3 linked regions of the Struthio camelus genome follow. The protein of the gene in region 2 interacts with the protein of the main gene of each other region in a biochemical or structural test. Links are inferred from orthologs where the notes say so. Each region holds a gene or a part of one and is shown on either strand. Other genes may lie near its edges.

Region 1 (7,673 bases), on a different chromosome or scaffold from region 2:
TGCCCAGCCAGGCAGCGTCCCCCCAGCAGCGTGGCTGTCCCCCTCCTCTTGCAGCGAGCTCGGTCACCTCGGGCTCCAGCAACACACAGCAGAGGCCAGGCTGCGACTTCTCTGAGCAAACGCAGCCCCAGCAAGGCCAACCTGGACACCGAGCCCTGTTTGGGCCCGGGACAAGAGAGAGCGCCTGGCCCCTGCGTGGGGCCATACCCCTTCCCCAGGGATGCAGACAGCTCCAGCACGCAGCATCCCACAAACCAGCTTTATTCCAAAATCCCCGTGCAAGGGGAGCGCAGCTGGGGTAGCCCACGGGGCCGCGGCACCTCCGGCACCGATGCACAGTGAGCCCGTGGCAGGGGGACAGCGGCTCCCTTTTCTCCCGGAGACCCGCTGCTGGGCGCTCTGACCGCAAGACGAGACCAGGACTGCTCTCTGCCCAAAACCTGCCCCTCCAGCGGGGCGCAGGGAGACAGATCCAGCTGGAAAAGGGGGAACGGACAGGGGTGAGCAGCAGAAAAGGGGAGCTGGGGCATCCCGAGCACCCGCTTCCCCCATGCCAGCAGCCCCAGCCCAGCAGCGGGACGCGCTGCGAGAGTGGCTGGCGCAGGGACGGGGACTCCCAGCCCCGGCGCGTCCCCACGCGCCCACCTGCCCTCCTAGCTGTGCAGCGACGATTTCTTCTGCCTGCACCCTCGTCTCGGCAGGAGCGCGGCCGCCTCTGCCCGGCCCTCGCGGAGACCCTGGGGGCGCAGAGCAGGGCGGGGGTCACGGGGGAGGATCACACCTTCACCCCGGCTGTCCCATCTGCCCCCCGGCCCTGCCATACCATGTAGAAGCCGGTGTGGTACCCGCTCATGTACCAGGACATCAGCATCGCAGCCAAGGCTTCCTCCTCCTCCTCCTCCTGGTACGTGCACAGTGGGGCTGGGGGCCACGGCGGAGGCACCAGCTACAACCAACAGCCTCCGTTAGGGACAGTCCCACCCCGAAGGACCCTGCCGTAGGGTGCCAGCTCGCCCGCACTATGCCCAGCAGGAGACGGGGACCCCAGGCAGGGAAATAAGGAGTTTCCAGAGCCAGCTGCCAGCGTTGCTGGCACCCGTCTATCCCTCCCTCCCCAAATCCACAGCTGGAGCTGCATGACAGGGTGATCCCGGGCTCACTGGTCCCCATCCCCACGGACGGGCAGGACCCCTGGTTGCCGCTGCGCTCTCTGGCCGCAGGCTGGCAGGGCAGGGAGAGCCTGGGCCACCGGCGCCGCTCCAGAGGAGGCACCCGCAGCCCTGGGTGCCCCCCCACGGCGCAAGGCAGCTCCCAGCCCCGTGGCAAGCCAGGGGCGGGGGGTGCAGAGGGCCCGAGCCCGGTGCGACACCAGACACTCACCTCGGGGGGCCAGGGGGAGCAGGGCGCCTGCTTGCCCTTGCTGCTCTTCCTCCTCCTGCCCGGGGGCAGCTCCCATGACGGGGGGGGTCTTGGCCTCCGGGACTCCCCGTAGGGACCCTCCTCCGCCTTGCGGGGACACACGAGCATCAGAGCAGCCCCCCCACAGACCCCCTGCCCACCCCAAAGGTGCCGCAGCGCCCCGCGGCATCACTCACCCACTGGGCCCCCAGGTGGCCCGCCACGGGGATGCAGGGGGGCAGGAGATCTGCCAGCGCCACCTCCTCCTTGTTCCCGTAGCCAACAAACTCCACCAGGCAGGTGCCAGCGGCGGTGTCCAGCGCCCGCACCGTGGCGGGGTACAGCAGCCCGTCGCCCGACCAGATGGTGCAGCAGGCGGCTCCCACCACCCACTGCGGGGAGAGGTGGGGGGGGGGTCACGCCGGCCCCAGGGAGAGGGGTCCCCAGCGTGACACTCCCCCCTCCGGCAGATCGCGAGGTGCGAGGCAGCCTCTCCCTGAGCCAGCAGTGGGGACGGGCTGTCACCTCGCCCGCTCACCTGGGAGCCTTCCTCATCCTCCTCCTCCTCGCTGGGGGGCACGCTCAACGGTGGGGACTCAGGGACCTGGTCCGACTCTTCATCCGGAGCATCCTGGGGGAGGAAGGTGCCGGGCTGAGATGGGGCTGGGGCGGGGGGGCAGAGCAGGGCCCTGGTCCTGTCCCGGTTCAACTAGCCCCAACGAGTCCGGACTCTCCTGCCCCGGCCCGGTCCCGGTTCCAGTTCACCCAGGCCCAGCACCCCCAGTCCCGGCTAGTCCAGACCCTCCAGCCCCAGCCCGGTCCCGGTTCCAGTTCACCCAGCCCCGGTACCCCCGGTCACACCTAGTCCGGACCCTCCTGCCCCGGCCCGGTCCGCCCAGTCCCGGTACCCCCGGTCACACCCAGTCCGGTCCCGGTTCCGGTTCGCCCAGCCCCAGTACCCCCGGTCCCAGCTAGTCCGGACCCTCCCGCCCCGGCCCGGTCCGGGTCCGCCCAGCCTCGGCCCGGCTCCCTCCGGCCCCGCCACGCAGCCGCCCACCCGCGACCCCGGGGCGCTCTCGGCCATGGCCCGGCGCGGGCGGCACCGAACCCGCGGCCGCACGTGGGCCCGCCCCGCCCCGCAGCGCCACGCCACGCCCCCCGCGCCGCACCGCGCGGCGCCCCCTGGGTAATGCAGTCTCCGCCCCGGCGGCGCACGCGGGGGCGGGGCACCCCACGACTACACTTCCCAGAAGGCAACGCCCGCGCTACCAGCGAGTCGGGCAGGCGGGCAGAGCGTCGCTGAGGCTTTCCTCCCCCCGCCGCGCCCTCCGGTGGGAGGCGGTGCGCTACGCCCCGGGAGGAGCGCGGCGGGCCGCAGCCATCGGTGTACCGAGCTGTGTCGGTGCTCAGCGGCGGCGAGCCCCGGCCCTGCTCTCTCAGCCGCAGCCGGTGCCGAGCTGCCACCGCAACGGCCGCGCACATGGAGCTACAAAATATCGTGGCAACTTTGTGCATCCACTAGGGAACCGGGGGGGAACATGACCTGCCTGTACATGAGCCCGGGACTCTGGGGAGAGGCAGCCCCCCGCAGAATACCTGCTCCGGAGCGGGCGGCAGGGACCCGGCCAGGGTGCACGGCTGGATGGAGCCCGACCCGAGGCTGCCCGCAGCCACCCTCACGGGGCAATCCAGGCCCAGCCACCAACACTGCGTGAGGAACGGGGCCCCGAAATCCCCGATCTGAGGGCGCCTTCGCGCAGCTGCAGCTGGAAACCCCTAACACCCCTAACAGGGAGATGCGGGTGGCAGGACCCTGCAGGGACTGGGACAGGGACCGGGGACAGGGACCCCACGGCAGGTCCCTGCAGGGACGGGGCACGCAGGCTCAGGGCTGGCTGGAGGGACCGAGCGACGCCAAGCCCAGGACTCGACCCCGGCCCGCAGCCCAGCTGCTGGCACCCCAGCACCCATGCCAAGAGGGGACTCCATCACCGGCTTCCCTCGGGGCCACGGGTGACAATTCTGGGGGCACAGGGGGCCCCAGCAAGCGGCAGCCGTGGTGCTTGGGGACCTGCACGGGGAGCAGGGCCTGGCACAGCCCGCCGCTCGCCTGTCCTTCAGGTGGCCATCGGAGCCAGCCCGGCCGCGGGGAACGAGATCAGGGACCCCAAGCAGGGAAAGAACCCGGAGGGCGAAACCGGAGCGCCCCGGGAGCGTGCCCGAGCTCCTGCCCACGGGAGCGGAGCCCGACGTGCGAGCGAGCGTGCAAGGAGGCTCGGGAGCAGCACGGGCCCGCGAGGCGGCACGCGTGCACAAGGCGGTCCCCAGCGAGCTGGCACAGGCGCCAACACGCGTGCACTCGCGGAAGGGACGTGACACCGGCAGGGGTGGGCGGCGCGGGGGTGCAAGCCGGCATGCAGCGGAGGGGAAGGGCTGGCGGGCAAAACCGGGCGTGCAAAACCGGGGGCGTGCACAGGCCGCGTGTGCGAGGGGACGGGAGCGTGCAGGGGCTCGTGGGTGCGAGGCCCACGCGTGCACGGGGGCGGCGCCGCCGGGGCAGGAACGGGGCCTGCGGCGGCCGCGCGTCCCCGGCAGGTGGCAGCCGCCAGCCACCGCCGGTCGCGGCGCCGGTGCATGGAGCGGCCCCCCCCCCCCCCCCCCCCCGGGGGCACCCCAGTGCACGGACCGACCCCTGCTGCAGGCCCCGGTGCCCGGACCGATGCCTCCCACGACGACGCGAATGCACGGTCTGACACACATTACCCCCCCCCCCGGCCCCTTGCAATCTCAATACACGGACCAGCCCCCCCCCCCCCCCGCAAACCCCAAGGCAGGGATTGCTCCTGCACGGCAGATCCCAGCGCAAGAACAACCCCCCCGGCCCCCATTGCAAACCCCAATGCACCGACTGATTCCCCGTGCCGTGGACCAACACCTCCCCCCCCCCCCCCGTTGCAAACCCCAATGCACTGACCGACCCCCCGTTGCAGACCCCGGTGCAGGGACCGACACCTCCCACGAAGATGCCAATGCGTGGCCCCCCCACGCCCCGCTGCAAACCCCAATGCACGGACCGTTCCCCCACTGCGCAGAACGACCCCCCCCCGTCCCCCAACTGCAACCCCCAATGCGCGGACCGACCCCCCCTCCCCGTTGTTTCGGTCCCTGCGCAGCCCCGGGGGGGGGGGGGGGAGGACAGTTTCTGGGCGGGGGTTTCCGCGTGCACCCAGCTCGGGGCGCTCCAAAAATAGTCGCTCCCGGGCTCTGGCGTCGGCCCGGCCCCGCTCCGCTCCCCCCGCGCCGTGAAACCCCCCCGCCCCGGAGCACCCCTCCCCACGTGGGGCCCGAAGGCGGCAGCCAATCCGCGCGCCGGCCGCTCTTTCCTTTGTGGCGGGCCAGCCAATGGGCAAGGAGGGGGCGCCGCGCGTGGCCCCGCCCAGCGGCGGGAGGCTATAAAAGGCGGCGCCGGCCGGAGCGGCGCTCAGAAAAGCGTACAGCGGCGAGCAGGGCGGAGCGGAGCGGGCTGCAGCGGGACCCCCACCGCGCTACTGGATTATTGCACTTGGGCTTCATTTTTATTTTTGAATACCTATTTCCTTTGCCGCGGATCCTTCTCCGGGCTCGGCTTCTGGGCGCCCGCCCTGTGGATTACAATTGCACCATGACCCTGGAGGAGCTGGTGCCCTGCGACAGCAGCAAGTAAGTGCCAGGCCCGGGGGCACCGTTTTTGGGGGGTGGGGGGGAACCGGCCCGGCGCTGCTGCCGCTCACTGGCCTCTCTTGTCCCCGCAGGATGCAGGCGGTGAGCGAGGCGGTGGAGCGGGTGTTGGTGGCGGCGCAGCGGCAGGACCGACTCACCGTGGGCGTCTACGAGTCTGCCAAGCTCATGAACGTGTGAGTGTCCGGGGGGGAATGCACGGGGGCTGCCGGAGCGGGTGCACGGCAGATCAGTGCAGGGGGTGCAGCGGGGTCTGTCCCGGGGGGGGGTGGCTATCTAAGAGCAGGGCTAGTGCAGGGGGTCTGGAGCAGGGAGGCTGCATGGGGGCAGCCCCAGTGTTGGGGGTCTGTCTTGGGGGGCAGGGGGGGAGTCTGCCCAAACCCAAAGACCATGCAAGAGTCACTCTGAAGCCTCTTGCCCATGGGCTGGGGTCAGTAGCCCGGGTGACATGGGGTGACATCACACCCCCCACCGTGTCATGGGACATGCACAGTACCTGCATCTGTGCTGTCCCGGCCCCCCTAACACTACGGCCATCTGCAGGGACCCCGACAGTGTGGTGCTGTGCTTGCTGGCCACCGATGAGGAGGACGAAGGCGACATCGCCTTGCAGATCCACTTCACCCTCATCCAGGCTTTCTGCTGCGACAACGACATCCACATCCTGCGCGTCTCCGGCATGCAGCGCCTGGCCGCCATCCTGGGCGAGCCCGAGCCCGGCACTGAGCCCCGCGACCTGCACTGCCTCTTAGTCACGGTGAGTGGGACTGTGATGCACAGCGCAGCCACGCGCCGCGGTCCCGCGCTGCAGGTGGGGACTGACCTTGCGCTTTGCCTCCCCAGAACCCGCACACGGACGCCTGGAAGAGCCAGGGGCTGGCCGAGGTGGCCAGCTACTGCGCCGAGAGCCGGGACAGGAACCAGTGGGTGCCCTATGTGGCCCTGCAGGAGCGCTGAGCCCTGCGGCAACTGCCAGCTTTTTAACCTGGAGAAAACAAAAAAATTAAAAATAAACCACAGAAGAGGGAAGGAGAAGCAACCAGATTAAAAAAAACAACCACCACCCACCGATTTTATTTTTCTTTTTAACTGGAGAGGAGGAGGGAGCAGCCCAGCCGATGGGCACAGGAAGGAGGTGAGCCGAGGACGCACCGGCAGAGCCCTCCGGAGACGGGGCCGGTGGCTGGGAGCCCGGCAGGACGAGGCTGGGCAGGAGACGCGATGTGCTGAGGAGTCATGCTGCGTGCCAGCACGCGCTTCCCCCCACGGAGGATGGGCCCTGCTGCGCGCCGCTGCCGGCCGCGGCGCGGAGGAGCCCGGGACTGGCGCGGCAGAGCGCGGGGAGGACAGATGGAGATGGTTTTGTTTTCTTTTTGGCATCTGGGACTCAATGGAAGCGTGGACTGCAAAGGGACAGATTTGCAAATGAACTTATTTTCTAAGGGATAAATAAATCTTATATATTCATAGACTTGCAACAACAGATTCATTCTGTGCACTCAAGCCCGTTGGAGACCCTGATCTAAATCTATTATAGAGTCTATTCTTGTACTGATTTGAAAAAAAAAACATTTGCAATAAAATTTCTAAACTCAGCAGTGCCTGCATTCATCTTCTGCCTTCCCTGCACCTGGGGCACCCCACGCCTGGGAGCAGGAACAGGTTTTGTGCCAGTTCTTGTGGCCGGTCCTGCACCCCGGTGGCCATTTCTCAGGGGGTACTGGGCCAGGCCTCGGGCAGCCCTGCACTGCAGGAGCATGGCCGGCTGCTCCCCGCATGCAGCCCTCGGGGCTGGTTGTGGGGAGGAAGAGGCCGGGTGCCAGGCAGCTCCGGGACCCCCTGGCAGTGCCAAACCAGCCTTGGCGCAGGCATCTGGCCTGGCCCCGCTGCCTCCTGCAAAGGCCCTGGCAGCAGCTGTCCCTTGGGCTCTGCAGCGGGATTTGCAGCCAGAAACGCAGCGTGTCGTAGGCAGGCGCTTGGGGTTGCACAGCACATCCCCGTGCCTGCTGGCACAGCCCTGCCTCAGCACCGCACGGGAAGATGGGCAGAGCCGGGGCTCCCCAGACCCCAAAACATCTGCAACCCCAAGGGCCAGGCACAGCCCCCCAGCCCTGCATGCAACAACCCCCCTCCTTGAACAGGAGGGTTTTTTTCCCCCCCAAATCACTCCCTGGCTGTACCCTCACACTACAGCAATAGCACAAACACCTCTTTGGTGCAAGGGTCCCTGGCAGCAAGGGAAATCGAGGCACAGGCTGCAGCCCGCAGAGCCGCAGGCACCCCATCTGCCTGGGGGCTCCCAGCCCCGCGGCTCTGCAGGCTCTGGGGGCCCAGGGAGGCAGCGCTGCCGGCACCCGCTGAGCCCTGACACCCCAGCAGCACCCCCAGCTCGCCCCTCCTGCCTCCCTGCCAGCTGCCAAGGGACTGTCCCTGAGCTGGCACTGCCAGGAGGGCTGGAGCCAGAGCCCCATCCAGCTTGCATGGCCCCCACCGGCCAGCCCTGGGCTGCATCCGGTGCTGCACTGTTGCAGGGGCTCAGCCCCGACTCTACCAGCTCC
Region 2 (7,449 bases):
GGCCGGCCGGGGGTCCAGGCTGCCGACGGGGCCCCCTTCAGCTGCACGTGAGTGGGGGGGCCAGGTCCCCGTGTGTCCCCTGTGTCCCCACCCATGTCCCCCCATGTCCCCAGTCCTTTATCAGCCAGGCCGTGATGTCTTCCGTGGTCCCCTCCCCGCCTTCATGTGACCGTTGCCCCTCCCCATCCAGTTTGGTGGCCACTGCACGTCCCTATGTGCGACCTCTGCGTGGTGACTCCGTCCCCAATGGCGCGGTGGCTCTGTCCCCGATGCCGCGGTGGCCTCTTGTCCCCAGGGTGCAACCCTCAGGTGTCCTCGGAGTACTGTGTCCCCTTGGGTGCTGCAGCCCCGTGTCCCGAGGCTGAGGCCGTGTTCCCCCATGTCCTCGGTGTCCCCCCGGTGTGACCGATGTCCCCCCGGTGTGACCGATGTCCCCAGGGCCACCAAGAAGGAGAAGGCGGCCGACCCCGTGGAGTGGACGGTTCGGGACGTGGTCGACTACTTCACGGAAGCCGGCTTTCCCGAGCAGGCGACGGCCTTCCAGGAGCAGGTGGGTCCCCTCCTGTCCCCTCTCCGTCCCCTCCATCCCTCTCTGTCCCCGCCTGTCCCCCTGATTGGACACTGGGGACCCTACACCCCCCAGCTCCCCCCGGTTCCCCTCCCTTGGAGGAGGGCTGAGCCCCCTCCCCATGTGGCCGCCAGCCCCACCTGGGTCCCCTCCACCCCCTGTCCCCAATGGCTTGTCCCCGTCCCCAGCTAGGTCCCCTCCATCCCTAGCTGTCCCCAGCAGGTCCTTGGGTGTCCCCCATTCCTTGAAGGATGTCCCCAACCCGGGCCAGGTTCCTGTCCCTGTTACTCATTTGTGATTATGGCTGTCCCCTGACTGTCCCCATCTGTTCCCCTTCCCTGATGGCTTTCCCCTGCCACTCCCTAGCTGTCCCCCTCCCTGTCCCCAACTGGTCCTGGGCCAGCTCCTTGTCCCCAGGTGCTCCCTAATGGCTGTCCCTAGGCAATGTTCCCTTTCCCTGTCCCTGTGAATGTCCCCTTCCCCTGTTTCCGGGCAGTGTCCCCTCCTGGCAGGCAGTCCTATACTCACAGGTGTCCCCCCTGTCCCCAGGCAGTGTCTCCCTCCTATCCCACCCTGGCAGGTGTCCCCCATCCCGGCGACTGTCCCCGTGCGGTGTCCTTCATCCTGGCACGTGCCTCCCCCCATCCCTGTGCAATGCCCCCTGTCCCTTTACAGTGTCCCCCTTGGGGTGTCCCCAATCCCTCTGGGTGCCCCCTGTCCCCACGCAGTGTCCTCTGGGAGTTCCCCGCTCCCAGAAAGCATCCCCCAAAGTGTCACCCCCCCCCCCATCCCACTGGGTGCCCCCTGTCCCCCCACAGTGTCCCCCGGGGGTGCCCCCCTCCCAAAGAGCCCCCTCAGAGCATCCCCCCACCCCGCCCTGTGCCCCCTGCTCCCCATGCAGTGTCCCCTTCCCAGAGAGCGTCCCCCAGTGTCACCCCCCATCCCACCGGGTGCCCCCTGTCCCCACGCAGTGTCCCCTGGGGGTGCCCCCCTCCCACAAAGCATCCCCCGAGTGTCCCCCCCACCCCCTGGGTGCCCCCTCCCCACGCAGCATCCCCCAGCAGCTGCCCCCCTCCCAGAGAGCATCCCTCAATGTCCTCCCCCATCCCACCGGGTGCCCCCTGTCCCCACGCAGTGTCCCCTGGGGGTGCCCCCCCCCCACAAAGCATCCCCCAGAGTGTCCCCCCCACCCCCTGGGTGCCCCCTCCCCACGCAGCATCCCCCAGCAGCTGCCCCCCTCCCAGAGAGCATCCCTCAGTGTCCCCCCCCATCCCACCGGGTGCCCCCTGTCCCCACGCAATGTCCCCTGGGGGTGCCCCCCCCCAAAGCATCCCCCTGAGTGTCCCCCCCACTCCCTGGGTGCCCCCTCCCCACGCAGCATCCCCCAGCAGCTGCCCCCCTCCCAGAGAGCATCCCTCAGTGTCCCCCCCCATCCCACCGGGTGCCCCCTGTCCCCACGCAATGTCCCCTGGGGGTGCCCCCCCCCAAAGCATCCCCCAGAGTGTCCCCCCCACCCCCTGGGTGCCCCCTCCCCATGCAGCATCCCCCGGCAGCTGCCCCCCTCCCAGAGAGCATCCCTCAGTGTCCTCCCCCATCCCACCGGGTGCCCCCTGTCCCCACGCAGTGTCCCCTGGGGGTGCCCCCCCCCACAAAGCATCCCCCAGAGTGTCCCCCCCACTCCCTGGGTGCCCCCTCCCCACGCAGCATCCCCCAGCAGCTGCCCCCCTCCCAGAGAGCATCCCTCAGTGTCCCCCCCCATCCCACCGGGTGCCCCCTGTCCCCACGCAGTGTCCCCTGGGGGTGCCCCCCCCCAAAGCATCCCCCAGAGTGTCCCCCCCACCCCCTGGGTGCCCCCTCCCCACGCAGCATCCCCCAGCAGCTGCCCCCCTCCCAGAGAGCATCCCTCAGTGTCCCCCCCCCATCCCACCGGGTGCCCCCTGTCCCCACGCAATGTCCCCTGGGGGTGCCCCCCCCCCCCAAAGCATCCCCCAGTGTCCCCCCCCATCCCACCGGGTGCCCCTTGTCCCCACGCAGTGTCCCCTGGGGGTGCCCCCCCCCACCCTGCCAGGTGCCCCTCTTCCAGAGAGCATCACCTAGAGCATCCCCATCCCCCAGCAGATACCCACTCCCCCACCCCATCCCACTGCACACCCCCTACCCCACCCCAGGGCCGGGCAGCAGCCACAGCCTGGGGGTGTTTTGGGGGGGGGGGGAAATCTGTGACGCGGGCCGGGTGCCCCCCACCCCGCAGGAGATCGACGGGAAGTCGCTGCTGCTGATGCAGCGGGCGGACGTGCTGACGGGGCTCTCCATCCGCCTGGGCCCCGCGCTCAAGATCTACGAGTACCACGTGAAGCTGCTGCAGCGCAGCCACTTCGAGGAGGACGAGGGCCCCGAGGCCTTCCTCGGCTGAGCGCCCCCGCGCGCCCCACGGACTCTCGGGGGTTGGGGGGGGGGGACGGTTTGGGCTTTGGTGGTGGTGGTGGGGGGGGGCACCTAGCCCCTTCCTCCACCTCCTCCTCTTCGCCTCCCTGCCTTCTTCCCCCTCCCGGGCTGGGCCTCCCCCACCCTCTTCTGCAGCACAGGGAGGGGGGCGAGGGGGGTTTTTATTCTTTTTTTTTGGGGGTGGGGGTGGGGGGGGCCAACGGGACGGTTTTGGGGGGTCGCTGTCCGGAGAGTTGTGTTTTAACCTACCCCAGCCTGTGCCCCCCCCCACACCGCCCCTGCTGTTCCCCCCCCCCCCTTACTGGGGTCTGCTCTCCCTCTCTCCCCCCCCCCCCAAATCTCCTCTGGGCCTGGCTTGTTTTGGGGTTTTTTAAATAAAAAAAGGAAAAAAGTGAAGGAACAGCCCCCGTGTGGGTCGGGGGGGATATTTGGGGTATTTTCTTTGTTGGGGGGGGGCGTAGCCTGGAAACCTGCATCCCTTCTGGCCTTTCCCCCCACAACCAAGGAGGGGGGGGGGTCCAGGCCTCTTGCTGACCCCCTGCAGGAGGTGCTTGGGGGGGGAGATCAGCATTTGGGAGGGGTCCTAAGGGGGGGGGTCCGCACTTTTGGGGGGGGTCTCAGCTGTGTGCGCATGCGCGGAGCCGCCTGGGGTTGCGCCGCCGTCACGCACGGGGGCGCCAGCACGCAGCGAGGGAAGGAACGACTGCGCATGCGCGCTGCCGCCCACTGGCCTTGCCGTGGGTAAGGCGGAGCAGGAAGGCTGCGAGACGCGCGCATGCGCGTCCGCGAAGTCTCCGAAAGGAGGCGTGGCGTGGCGGACGGTGGCCGGCGGCAGCCCTAAAAGCGGCGACAGCGGAGCGTGAGTGTGCGCGCGCGTGTGGCGGACGGTGGCCCGGCGGGGCCAGTCGGCGCCTGCGCACTGCGCTGTTTGTGTATTCTGGCTGCGCGGCGGCGCTGGCTCCGGTCGAAGATGGCGGCGTCCTCGCTGGAGCAGAAACTCTCCCGCCTGGAGGCCAAGCTCAAGCAGGAGAACCGCGAGGCCCGCCGCAGGATCGACCTCAACCTCGAGATCAGCCCGGCTCGGGCCCGGCCTAGTAAGGAGGGGCTGGGGGGGAGGGGAGACCCGAGGGGGAAGGGAGGCCGGAGGGGGGGGCAACTGGGGGTGGGGACAGTTGGGGCAATGCTGAGGGCTGTGGGGGTATTTGGGGCAATCATGAGGGGGTCGGGGGCAGTTGTGGCAGTACCGGGGGAAATAGGGGGTGTTTGGGGCCGTATTCGGGATATAGGGGGTGTTTGGGGCAGTTTTGAGGGATCTGAGGACAGTTGGGCCTTATTTGGGGGACAAGTAGGGTTGTATTGGGGGAAATGGGGGTATTTAGGACAGTTTTGTGGGATATGGGGGCAGTTGGAGTTGTTCTGAAAGATCTGAGGGCAGCCGGGGCTGTATTGAGGGAAATGGAGGGTATTTGGGGCAGTATTGGAAGCTCTGAGAGTAATTGGGGCTATATTGGAGATATTTGGGGCAGTTTTGTGGGATATGGGGGCAAGTCGGGCAGTAGTGAAAACTCTGAGAGCAGTTGGGGCTATGTTGCGGGAAATGAGGGGTATTTGAGGCAGTTTTTCGGGGTATGGAGGTAAACAGGGTTCTACTGGGGGAAATGGGTGGTAGTTGGGGCAGTGTTGGGGTTATTGTGGGGCAATTGGGGCAGCTCTGGGGGAGGTGGGGGGGCATTTGGGGCAATTTTGCAGGGCATGGGGGGAGTTAGGGTTGTATTGGGGGAAGTGGGAGTTGATGGGGCTTTTTTGAGGACGCTGAAGGCAGTTGGGGCAGTACTGAGAGGCCGGGGGGCAGCTGGGCCATGTCTGGGGGAAATGGGGGGCAGCTGGGGCTGTGTTGAGAGGTTGGGGGCAGTTGGGGCATTCTTTAGGGATATTGAGAGCAGCTTAGACTATATTTAGGGACATTGGGGGCAATTGAGACTGTATTTGGTGCATTGGGGGTAGTTGGGAGTGCATTTGGGGCTATGGGGGGGGAACTGAGGCTGTTTCGGAGGCTTCAGGGGCAGTTGCGGTTTGAGTTGGTGAAATGGGGGTAGTTGAGGCTCTAACAGGGATTTTAGGGGGCGGTTGAGGCAGTATTGGAGCAAAAGGGGAGGCAGTCAACAGTTTTGGGTGTAGTTGGGGCAGTTTGGGTACAGTTGAGCTGTATTGGAGCAAACGGGAGGCAGTCGGGGCGGTTTTGGGGGCAGTTGAGGCAGTGTTGGAGCAAACAGAGGGGCATTGGGCAAACGGGGGCCGTCGGGGCTGTACGGAGGCACTGAGGGGAGTTTTGGGGTGAACGCTGGGGACTCGGAGGCTTGGGGAGGACGAAGCCCTGAGAACGGTGGGGGGCGGCCGCGGCCTCGCCGGGGCGGCGCCAGCCCCGGGGCAGCCGGGGTGACCTTGACGGGGGCGGGCACCGCGGGGGCCAGGCGCGCCGCGGGACGACGAGGAGGGCAGCGGTGGCGTCTCCCCGTGCGGGACACGGCGGAGCCGGGACCGAGCCCCCCGCGGCCGCGGTGGCGTCTCCCCGCGCGGGACGCGGCGGAGCTGGGACCGAGCGCCCCATGGCAGTGGCAGTGTCTCCCCGCACGGGTCGTGGCCGAGCAGCAGTTTGGGGTTGTGGCGAGGCGACCCCCGGGCTCCTGGGCCCCACGGGCACGTGGGGTTGGTGCATGACCGGCGAAGCGTCACCCTGGCCGGTGGCTGTTCGGCCGAGAGCGCGCGGGAAGGTGTCCTGGGCAACGTCGGTTTTTCCTGCTTTTGGAAATGTCAGTTTTCTAGGTTTGGGAACCCTTGTTTTTTGGGGGCCGGCAGAACGTCACTTTTTGTAGGTTTGGGAAGTGCTGTTTTTCTAGGTTTGGGGACTGTTGCTTTTTGTAGGTTTGGGGAATGTCGATTTTTCAGGGCCTGGGGACCGTCTGTTTTTGGAGGGTTGGGGAAGGTCACTTTTTCTAGGTTTGGGAAACGTCGTTTTTTTGCAACCTTGGGGCTGTCACTTTTTCTAGGTTTGGAAAAAGTTGCTTTTTCATAGGTTTAGGGAGCGTTGCGTTTTCGGGCCTGGAATTGCTAGTTTTAGCCTGCCGGCGGCAGCTCCTCTGCCTCCCCCTCGCCATACTCCCCCTGCCCCATTTGCTCCTCTCCCCTCCCGTGACGCGATTTGAGTTTTCCTTTAGTTTTTCCTTTTTGCCATTCTTCTTATTTTGCTCCTTTTTCCTTTTCTTTTCTTTTTTTTGTTTCTCATTTTAATTTTCTGTTGCTGCCTTGGTTCATTTCTGTTGTGATTTATGGTGTGTTTTTCTCCTTTTTTTTTTTTGTTGTTGTTGTTTTGTCCCGTTTCTTCCTTCTCCTCCTCCAGTTATTGTGATCACTCTAAGCCCTGCTCCCGCTCCATCCCAACGAGCAGGTACCACGACTTTTTCCTCCGCGCCGCTTGGATTGATCCCGCATCATCTCACTTTTAACGCTTGTCCCCCCCCTTCCCCCTTTCCCTGCGACACCTCCGAGACGCGGCTGCTCCTGGGCTGGGGACAGGGGAGCGAGCGTGCGGCGGCCGGGCCGCACGGTGCTTTTCCCTTCGCGGGTGCCTCGTTTCGGAGGGCGCCGCTTTACCTTGTTCCTCCTGCTCCCGGTTTTTCCCCTTCCCTCTGCTCGTCCCCTGCCTGTCGCATGGTTGCGGCGCCGCGGGGTGCATGGGGCGGGGGGGCGGTCGGTGCGGGGCGGCCGGCGAGCGCTCCGGCCGTCACAGGGCGACTTGGCGCGGCAGCGGCCTGAGTTGGCGCGGGAGCGGCTGGTGACCGCTCCAGCCGGCACGAGGCGACTCGGCGTGGGAGCGGGGCGACTTGGTGCCTGGTTGGGGCAACTTGGCACAGGAGAAGCTGGCAAGCGCTCTGACCAGTGTGGGGCGACTCGGCGCGGGAGCGGGGCAACTCGGCACCTGCACGGGGCAAATCGGCACGGGAGCAGGGCGATTCGGCACAGCGGTGGCGTGACTTGGCGCGGGAGCAGCTGGCGAGCGCTCCGGCCGGCGCGGGGCGATTCGGCGCGGCGGTGGCGTGACTTGGCGCAGGAGCAGCTGGCGAGCGCTCCGGCCGGTGCGGGGCGATTCGGCGCGGGAGCAGGGTGATTCGGCACAGCGGTGGCGTGACTTGGCGCGGGAGCAGCTGGCGAGCGCTCCGGCCGGCGCGGGGCGATTCGGCGCGGTGGTGGCGTGACTTGGCGCAGGAGCAGCTGGCGAGCGCTCCGGCCGGTGCGGGGCGATTCGGCGCGGGAGCAGGGTGATTCGGCACAGCGGTGGCGTGACTTGGCGCGGGAGCAGCTGGCGAGCGCTCCGGCCGGCGCGGGGCGATTCGGCGCGGTGGTGGCGTGACTTGGCGCAGGAGCAGCTGGCGAGCGCT
Region 3 (8,572 bases), on a different chromosome or scaffold from region 2:
TAAGCCGGAGATTACCTCCTCGGCCCCGCTTAGCCGGCGCCAGCGTCGCCGGGGCGCAGCCGCGCTGGGGGCAGAGCCGCTGGTGCAGCCGGGGGGAGGCTCCGGGCCGGTGCCGGAGCAGATGGGCCGGCCGGGATGCGGGGCGGGGGCGATGCCGGAGGCAGCTGTGCTGCCCGGCCATCTGTTTCCCCCGCCGCGGATCGGCAGGGAGATGCCGTAAGCCGCTGCCGCCGCCGCTGCTTGTTCCCCCCTCGGGGAGAGGCAGGGCTGGGCCGCAGGACGGACAGGCGGTGTCCCTGGAGAGGCCCCTTCCCTGCGGCAGAGCCGGAGCTGCCGGGACGTGCTCCGGCCCGGGGCGCGCGCCGGGGCCGTGGATAACGCGTGCAGCGGCGGCAGGATGCGGGTCTGGGGCCGGGGGGCCGGGTCGGGGGCTGCGGCAGGCCGCGGTGCTCCCCGTTCCCTGCCGGCTCCCAGCGCCCGGAAGCGGAGCCGGGCTGCGATCCCCGGGGCGCCCGGCGGAGAGGGGCCCTGCCGAAACGGCAGCCGCTGCTCCGCGCGGCGCCTGCCAAACCGCGGCCGGCGCTTCCTCGCGGCCCCGAGCCCCGTGCGAAGGGTGCCGGGAGAGGAAACAGCTCGTGGGGAGCTGGCGAGCGGCAGCCCAGCCGCCCGGCCGGCCCCTGCCGAGCTGGGCTGCGCTCCCGCGCGTTGCTAGCGGGGCGCTGCTGCACGCGCGGCGCCCGGAGCGTTTGCCGCCGCGTTTCCCAAGGGTGCGTGAGACCTTCCGGGGGGAGGGCGGTCTCCTATAACAACCCGTTTCCCAGAAGCAGGAAGCAGAGCCAGCCCCCGGCCCAAGGGGCAGGGATGCTCGCCTGCCCGGCTAGCGCTGCTGCCCTGCGGGAGGCCGGTGCGCGGGCGTCTGCGCGGGTTTGGCCTGCTGGTGCTGGGAGGGTGGTGCTGAGCGCCAGCCAGCCGCCGGCGCCCCGGCTGCGTCCCGCGGGAAGCGCAGGGCCCTTCGCGCCGCTGTCGGCTGCGTCTAGCAGCGGATCAGGAAGGACATCCCGGCTACCGCTCCCCCGGTAGCAGGCGGCTCCTGATGGACCTGCTCTGCCGGGGAGCCGGTGAGGTTTTCGCTGCTTCCCGGGGAAGCCGTTGCAGGCCCCTGCGTGGGACGGGGACCGCTCGGCCGAGCGGGGAGGGCAGGGCCCCCTGCACTGCATGGTGCTCCCATCTGGGCTGGGGTCGGAGGGGTTGGCTGGAGAGCCGGCTAGCTGTTGCCCGTGTGTTGCCTCCGTGGCGGCACAAAACTTGCCTTGGCCTTCCCGCTCGGGGCTCTTCCGTCCCTCTGGCAGGAAAGGTGGCTGGGATGTGCATGACCGGGACGGAGAGGGACGGGAGGAGCCTCAGGACCCCTGCTGGCTCAGCACCCCCCCCCCCCCCACATGGTGGCTCAGGCCCTGCAGTGCAGCCTCTCTGCAGGATACGGTGTGCACAACGGGGCGGCATTGCAGCCTCCGGTCAGGCCCAAGGGCAGCGGACCGAGCGGGGCCCCGCCGGTCCAAGCCCTCTGCCCTGGAGCTGCCAGGGCCTGCGGCAAGCAGTCGGAGAGGGGGATCCGCACAACAGGTCCCTGGGGCCCAGCACAGTGCCCTGGCCAGGCTGGCCCGGCGGTCCCACGGGAGCAGCTGCAGCAATCCTGCTGTGAGCCAGTTCCCAAGCACGGGCCGGGCAGCTGCAGAGAGGGGCGGGTGCACCCAGGCCCACCACCCCTGGGCCCCACTGCCTGTGGACCCCCAGTGCCACCTGCCCGCCAGCGCGCAGACTCCCGTGCTGCATCCTGAATCCCTTCTGCCTTCAGATCCCCCCTGCTGTATCCTGCTCACCCACTGCCTCCAGTTCCTGTATGTCTTCTTACAGCCCCCTTGACACCCACTGCCTCTGGTGCCCCCACCGCTTACTGGGCCTCCCATTGCATCCTGTTCCCCCATGCACGGACCCCCCCACACCCCACACACACTGACTCTGGGGACCTGCTGTTCCCCAGATCCCCCTACTGCCTTCTGTGCCCCATACTATATAGGACCCCCCCCACTGCCACTGGGCCCACCACCTTTGGGTCTCCCCAATGCACAGACCCCCTGTGCCTCTGTGTCCCCACTGTTTTCCAGCCCCCACTGCATTTGGCCTCCCCCACTGCCTCCTGGACTCCCACTGCCTCCTGGCCCCTCTCACTGCACCCTGCACCCACAGTGCGCCAGACACCCTCCACTTTCTGACCCCCACTATACCCTGCCCCCACTGCACAGACACCCCCCCCCAATGCCTCGGGGTCCTGCAGGGCCCCATATGGCTCCTCCACATCCCCAGACTCCCCCACCTGTCTTGATCCCTGCAAGGCAAACTGACCCCCGGGCCCAGCTGGCCCAGATGCCCCTGCCTTGTAGTGGGTCTACAGCCTTGGGCAGGTCCCAGCATCAACCCCAGCATCAGCCTTGGGCATCAGCCCCCAGCATCAGCCCTGACATCAGTCCGGCATCAGCCCCGGCATCAGCCCCCGACATCAGCCCCCAACATCAGCCTTGACATCAGTCCGGCATCAGCCCCCGACATCAGCCCTGACATCAGTCCGGCATCAGGCCCTGGCGTCAGCCCCAGCATCAGCCCCCGACAGCAGTCCCCAACATCAGCCCTGACATCAGTCTGGCATCAGCCCCTGGCACCAGCCCGCAATCAGCCCCCGAGATTAGCCTGTGATCAGCCCCCGACATTAGCCCCTGACGTCAGCCCCGAGATCAGCCCCAGGATTAGCCCCCGGCAGCAGCCCCCGAGAGCAGCCCCTGAGAACAGCCCTGCATTAGCCCCTGACAGCAGCCCCCGAGAACAGCCCGGTACCAGCCCCCGGGATCAGCCCGGTACCAGCCCCTGGGATCAGCCCTGCATCAGCCCCCGGGAGCAGCCCCCGAGAGCGGCCCGGAGCACCAGCCCCCGGGAGCAGCCCCGGGCCGGGCCGGCAGCGGCGGCGCCGGGACAGCTCCGGGCTTCAGCACCGGGGCGGGGACAGCTCCGCGCGGGGCCCTCGGCCGCCTCCCGCCCCGGCCCGGCCCGGCCCGGGGCTGCGCAGCGCGGCGCCTCCCTGCACAGCCTGCATGGCCCTATACAGCCTGCATGGCCCTGTACAACCTGCATGGCCCTATACAGCCTGCATGGCCCTGTACAGTCCTGCATGGCCCTATACAGTCCTGCATGGCCCCATACGGCCTGCATGGTCCTGTACAGTCCTGCATGGTCCTATACAGCCTGCATGGTCCTGTACAGTCCTGTATGGTCCTATACAGCCTGCATGGCCCTATATAGTCCTGCATGGCCCCATACAGTCCTGCATGGTCCTATACAGCCTGCATGGCCCCATACAGACCTGTATGGTCCTATACAGCCTGCATGGCTCTATACAGTTCTGCATGGCCCCATACAGACTGCATGGTCCTATACAGCCTACATGGCCCCATACAGTCCTGCATGGTCCCATACAGCCTGTATGGTCCTAATCAGCCCTGCATGGCTTTATATAGCCTCCTGCATGGTCCTGTGCAGCCCTGCATCTCCCTATGCAGTCCTGCGCCTCCCTATACGGCCCTACACCTCCATATGCAGCACTGTGCCTCCCTATGCAGCACTGCACTTTGCTATACAGCCCTATGTAGCCCCCTGCATGGCCCTGTGGTGCCCTGCACCTCCCTATATGACCCTGCACCTCCCTGTACAGCCCCCTGCACAGCTCCATGCAGCCCTGCACAGTCCTGTACAGCTTTGCACCGCCCTATATAGCCCTCCTGGCATGGTCCCTACACAGCCTTACACTGCCCTATACAACCCTTCACCTACTTACACAGTCCTGCACAATCCTGCACCTCACTATACATCTCTGCACCTCCCCTGTGCAGGCCCCTACGTAGCCCTGTGCCCCCCCTACGCAGCCCCTGCACAGCCCTCTGCATTTCCCCGCAGAGCAGCCCTGTGCAGCCTCCTGTCCCTCCTTATACAGCCCCTGTGGCCCTGAACACACCCCTGCTCTCCATACTGCCTCCTGCTCTCCTCCCTATACAGCCCCCTCCCCTCTCCCTCTACATCCCCCCACTCCTCCCTGTCCCTCTCCCTATACAACCCCCTCTCCCCTCCATAGACAGCCCTCCGTTCCTCCCTGCTCTCCTCCCTATATGGCTCTCTCCCTTCCCTATACAGCCCTCTTTCCCCTCCCTATACATCCCCCCTTCTCTCCATAGACAGCCCCCTCTCCTTTCCCTATACCACTCGCTCTCCCCTCCTTATACTTACCTTTCTCCCCACCCTATACAGTCCCCCCCTCCATAGACAGCCTCCCAGTCCTCCCTGCTCTTCCTCCCTTTACAACCCCTCTTTTCCCTATACATCCCCCACTTCCCTCCCTATACACTTCTGCCTGTTCTCCTCCCTATACATCCCCCTCTTCCTTCCCTATATAGCCCCCCTCCATAGACAGCCCCTCTCCCCTCCCCATACAGCCCCTTCTCCCCTCTCCATACATCCCCCTCTCCCCTCCCCCTACATCCTCCTTCCCCTCCCCATACATCCCCCTCCCCTCCCCATACATCCTTCCCATACATCCCGTTCCCTCCCTATACATCCCCCGTTCCCTCCCCATACATCCCCCCTCCTCTCCTCATACATCCTCCCCATACATCCCCTGTTCCCTCCCCATACATCCCCCCTCCCCTCTCCACACATCCTCCCCATACATCCCCCCTCTCCCCTTCCCCATACATCCCCCTCCCCCATACATCCTTCCCATACATCCCCCCGTTCCCTCCCCATACATCCCCCTCCCCTCCCCATACATCCTTCCCATACACCCCCTGTTCCCTCCCTATACAACCCCCCCGTTCCCTCCCCATACATCCCCCTCTCCCCTCCCCATATATCCCCCCTCCTCTCCTCATACATCCTCCCCATACATCCCCCCTCCCCTCTCCACACATCCTCCCCCTCCATCCCCCCTCTCCCCTTCCCCGTACGTCCCCCCTCCCCTCCCCATACAGCCCCCTATCCCCACCCCCCCGCCCCACAGCCGCCCTCCCCCCGCAGCCCCCTCTCCCCCCGAGGCGGCCCCCGCCCCTCCCGCACCGCCCCAGCTCCTCCCTCGCTATAAGGCTCCCAGCGCGCCGCCCGCCCCGGCCCCGGCCCCCCGCGCACCCCGCTCCGCTCCGCGCCGCCGCCCCCGCCGCTCCCGCCGCCGCCGCCGCCCCGGTGCCCGCGCGGCCCCGCCCGCAGCGCGGCCCCGCGCAGCCCCGCGCAGCTCCGCAGTCCGGCGCAGCCCCGGCCGGGAGAAGATGGCGGATCGCGCCGAGATGTTCTCGCTCTCCACCTTCCACTCGCTCTCCCCGCCGGGCTGCAGGTGAGCCCCGGGCCCGCTTCGGTTCGGTTCGGCCCGGCCCGGTCCGGCCCCGCGCCGCGGCCGTGCGTGCGTGGGGCGGCGGGGCTGGGGCGGGGCGGCCCGGGGCCCGGCCCGGCCCGGCTCGGCCCGGTGCGGCTCGGCTCGGCCCGGTGCGGTGCGGTGCGGTGCGGTGCCGCCCGGGGCGCTGGGGCCGCGCTGCGGGCGCGGCGCTGCGCTGCGGGCTCTGCCCGGCCCGGCCCGGCTCGGCTCGGCCCGACGCGCCGCCCTTGGCGCTGGCTGCGGGCCGGGACCGGACCGGGACCGGGACCGGGGCCGCGCGGCCGGGCCGGGGGGGCCGCAGCGGGGCCGCCCGGCGCCGCCGTCCCGCAGCGGGGCCCCGCGTCCTGCGGGAAGTTTGGCTGCCGCTCTCCGTCTCCCCGTTCACCTTGGGGCCGCGGAGCCGCCGCCGCCGCCCCGCTCCGCTCCGGCCCAGCGATGCTGCTGCCGCGGGCCGGGCCGGGCCGGGCCGGTCCATCGGGGGCGCGGGGGCCCCGTCCGGGCCGTGCGCGCCGAGCGGCCCTTCCCCCGCGCGGGCGCAGCTCCCGTGGCGGCGATTAGCGCTGCAGCAGCCTCCGCCGCATCGCCCGGGCCGGGCCGAACCGGGCCGAGCCGCTCCCCGTCCGCCGGGAGCCCCGCGCCGCGGAGGGCAGAGCCGCCCGGGGTCCGACCCCTGCCCCGCCGCGTCCCCGGGGGCTGCGGGGAAGCGGCACCGGCTGGCGTCTCTTTGTCTCTCCTGACACGCGCTGCGCCTCCGTCCCTCCCGCAACGCTCCTGGGGGCTCTGCCTGTTGTTCACGCCGCAAACCAGGCCCTCCCGGGCCCGGCGGCTCTGTGCTCTCGGGGGGGCCTGGCGGTTCAGCGCGCGCTGGCGCGAGGGAAGGGGTTGCCAGCCAGGTTTGGCCTGCGATGGGAAGCCCTGTTGTTGGCGCGTGGGGAAGGAGCTTTGGCTTGGTTCGCTCTCGGCAGACGCCCCAGAGACCTGCCCGAGCTGCTCCGTCCGAGCAGGCTCGGCGCTTCCGAGGTCTAACGTGGGGAAACATGGTGCTTGCTAAAAGCAGTGGCTCCCAGGCCCCTCTCCGCCGCGGGAGGAGTGCCCGGGCCCGGGTGCAGCCTGACGCAGGTCACCTTTCCAGCAGGTCCTGCAGGAGCTGGAGGCGGCAGGGCCAAGCTGCCAGCCGGACTGGCACAGAGCGGGGAGGGTGGACGCGGCAAGGCTCTCACCCCCTAGCCCTGCTGGTGGGCTTGGCAGGGCTGGGGTGCAGCCCAGGCTGGGGGCCATGGGGTGTGTGGGGCTGGATGGGAGCCGTGCCAGCAGGGTGGGGAGGCCGGGCGGTGGCCAAGCCAGGCTGGCCCAGCATGGGGCAGCGGGGTCTCGGCAGCTGGATGGAGGGTGGGAGGTGATGGTGGTGGTGGTGGGTACCTAGGGAGGCCCTGAGGACCAGAGGAGCTGAGGTTTAGTTGGGATGCTGGACATCTTCGTTGGCTGGCTCTGACCCACATTGAGCAGGTCTCGTGGCTGCTTCCCAGGTCATCCCTGTCCCTGGGTCGTGGTGGGACCTTGCGCTGGTGTCATGGGGAGCGCGGTGGGGAGGACACAGCCTCTGCCTTTGCCATGGCTGTTCTGCTCCTTCCTGCCTCCCGCTTGGCATCTGGGCCCAGAGCAATTCCCCAGGGGCTGCGTTTTCCGGGTGGTCGCATCCTCCTCGCAGGGATCCCCTGCACAACTCTCCCCCTTCATCCCCCTGGAGGCCCTGCCCTGCTGTGTGGCACGAGGGGGATCAGAGCTGGCCCGTAGCAGGTTACCACTGAGGTTGCGGTGTCAGGTCTGGCCCGGGGATGCATCCCTGCACACTCCCAAGCTGGGCCGTACGAGGCAGCGGGGCTGGAGCCCTCGGGGGCGTGGGGGAGCTCTGGGTCGAGGAGGGGGCTGGCTCCTGCCCCCTGGGGAGTTCAAGCCCATGGAGGGCATTGCAACCCGCGACCGTGCTCTTGGCCATAGCCACATCTCATGCATCTCCTTCTGCAAACGCTTCTGCTCCTGTGGCAGTGAGTTCCACTGGCTGGAGACCCCCCGGCAGGGAAATCCTCTCCTCCTGTCCCGTAGTGATACGCTGCTTTTCCACGTCTCCTTCTGTCCTTGTGCTCTGCGAGGGACAAACAGCAGCAGCCTGGCTCCTGTTCTAGTCACATCTGTTATTCTCCTAGCCACAGACGATCGATCTTCCCTCTGGCTCGTGCAGGAGCGTTTGGCGTTTAAGGCCCCTGACACCGGCTTTGAGCAGAGCCGAGGGGCAGTGGAGGAGCCTGGTGGCAGGGCAGAGGGCAAAGGAGCAGTGACCGTTTTGCGTTGGCTACTGGACCCGCTCTGCTCCTAGCCAGGAGGAGGGCGCGGGGTGCAGGAGCTGCACCCCTGTGCCAGGAAAACTGGGTCAAATCCCTGGGGACTCCCTGGCTGCCAGTGGTCTCTGCTCCTCATGTGCCCAGGGAGCTTGCACCAAAGGCTGCAGGTCTGCACGGAGCAGGGGGTCTGCAGGCTCCTCTCCGGCGAGCAGCGCTGCGGGGGGTGCCCCCTGCTCCTGCCAGCAGAAGGGGCCTGGAGCCCCGCGTGGCAGCAGCACGGTGCTGTGCGCGCTGCGTCTTTGCTGGACCGTTCATGCCCGTCTGCAGGAATGGGCCTGAGTTGGTGCTGGCCCCCAAGACACAGCCAGGGCACAGGAAGGCCCCGTGCGCCCAGCGCCTTGCCGTGCTGCCTGCAAGGTGCAGCGCGCACCGCTGCATTCAGCCGGGCTGCGGCAGGCCAAACTGCACCCCCTGCACACTGCTTGGGGTCTCCTCGCTCGCCAGAGAGACCCCCCCCCTCCCCAGAAGTGCACAAGTCCCCCCCATTGCCTGGAGGAACCTCAGTCGGTGGAAGGATAAAGCCCACAGGGATGTTGCCGCCACAAGGGGAGCAGCCAGCGTTTGTGATGTCTTAACAGAGAGAGGTCGATAATTCCTGCTTCAGCCAGGCCTTGCAAGGCCTGAATCCAAACTGTGCCTCTTCCCAGCCAGGCCCTGGGGAAGGTCGTTCCCAGCCTGGGGCTTCCTGGGGGTGGGCGAGAAGCTGCAA

The links.
Region 1: the proteins of MAP2K7 (region 2) and GADD45B form a complex in vitro, tested with the Homo sapiens proteins (2 studies listed by BioGRID and IntAct). The link is inferred for Struthio camelus from reciprocal best matches to the Homo sapiens genes MAP2K7 and GADD45B.
Region 3: the proteins of MAP2K7 (region 2) and MAPK8IP2 form a complex in vitro, tested with the Homo sapiens proteins (2 studies listed by BioGRID). The link is inferred for Struthio camelus from reciprocal best matches to the Homo sapiens genes MAP2K7 and MAPK8IP2.

Annotation. Positions count from the first base shown.
Region 1 is NC_090967.1:6,695,085-6,702,757, forward strand, and holds GADD45B (growth arrest and DNA damage-inducible protein GADD45 beta), read left to right. Parts: upstream 1-4,883; 5' UTR 4,884-5,059; coding exon 5,060-5,097; intron 5,098-5,189; coding exon 5,190-5,291; intron 5,292-5,658; coding exon 5,659-5,872; intron 5,873-5,958; coding exon 5,959-6,072; 3' UTR 6,073-6,710; downstream 6,711-7,673. Other genes in the region: survival motor neuron protein 1-like, read right to left, coding at 654-737, 824-946, 1,381-1,506, 1,596-1,790, 1,937-2,029, 2,456-2,482.
Region 2 is NC_090972.1:4,043,126-4,050,574, reverse strand, and holds the start of MAP2K7 (dual specificity mitogen-activated protein kinase kinase 7), read left to right. Parts: upstream 1-3,935; 5' UTR 3,936-3,983; coding exon 3,984-4,107; intron 4,108-6,410; coding exon of another isoform or gene 6,411-6,458; intron 6,459-7,449. Other genes in the region: sterile alpha motif domain-containing protein 1-like, read left to right, coding at 1-47, 439-550, 2,820-2,981. UniProt on the Homo sapiens protein: Dual specificity protein kinase which acts as an essential component of the MAP kinase signal transduction pathway. Essential component of the stress-activated protein kinase/c-Jun N-terminal kinase (SAP/JNK) signaling pathway.
Region 3 is NC_090942.1:659,339-667,910, reverse strand, and holds the start of MAPK8IP2 (C-Jun-amino-terminal kinase-interacting protein 2), read left to right. Parts: upstream 1-5,287; 5' UTR 5,288-5,360; coding exon 5,361-5,425; intron 5,426-8,572. UniProt on the Homo sapiens protein: The JNK-interacting protein (JIP) group of scaffold proteins selectively mediates JNK signaling by aggregating specific components of the MAPK cascade to form a functional JNK signaling module.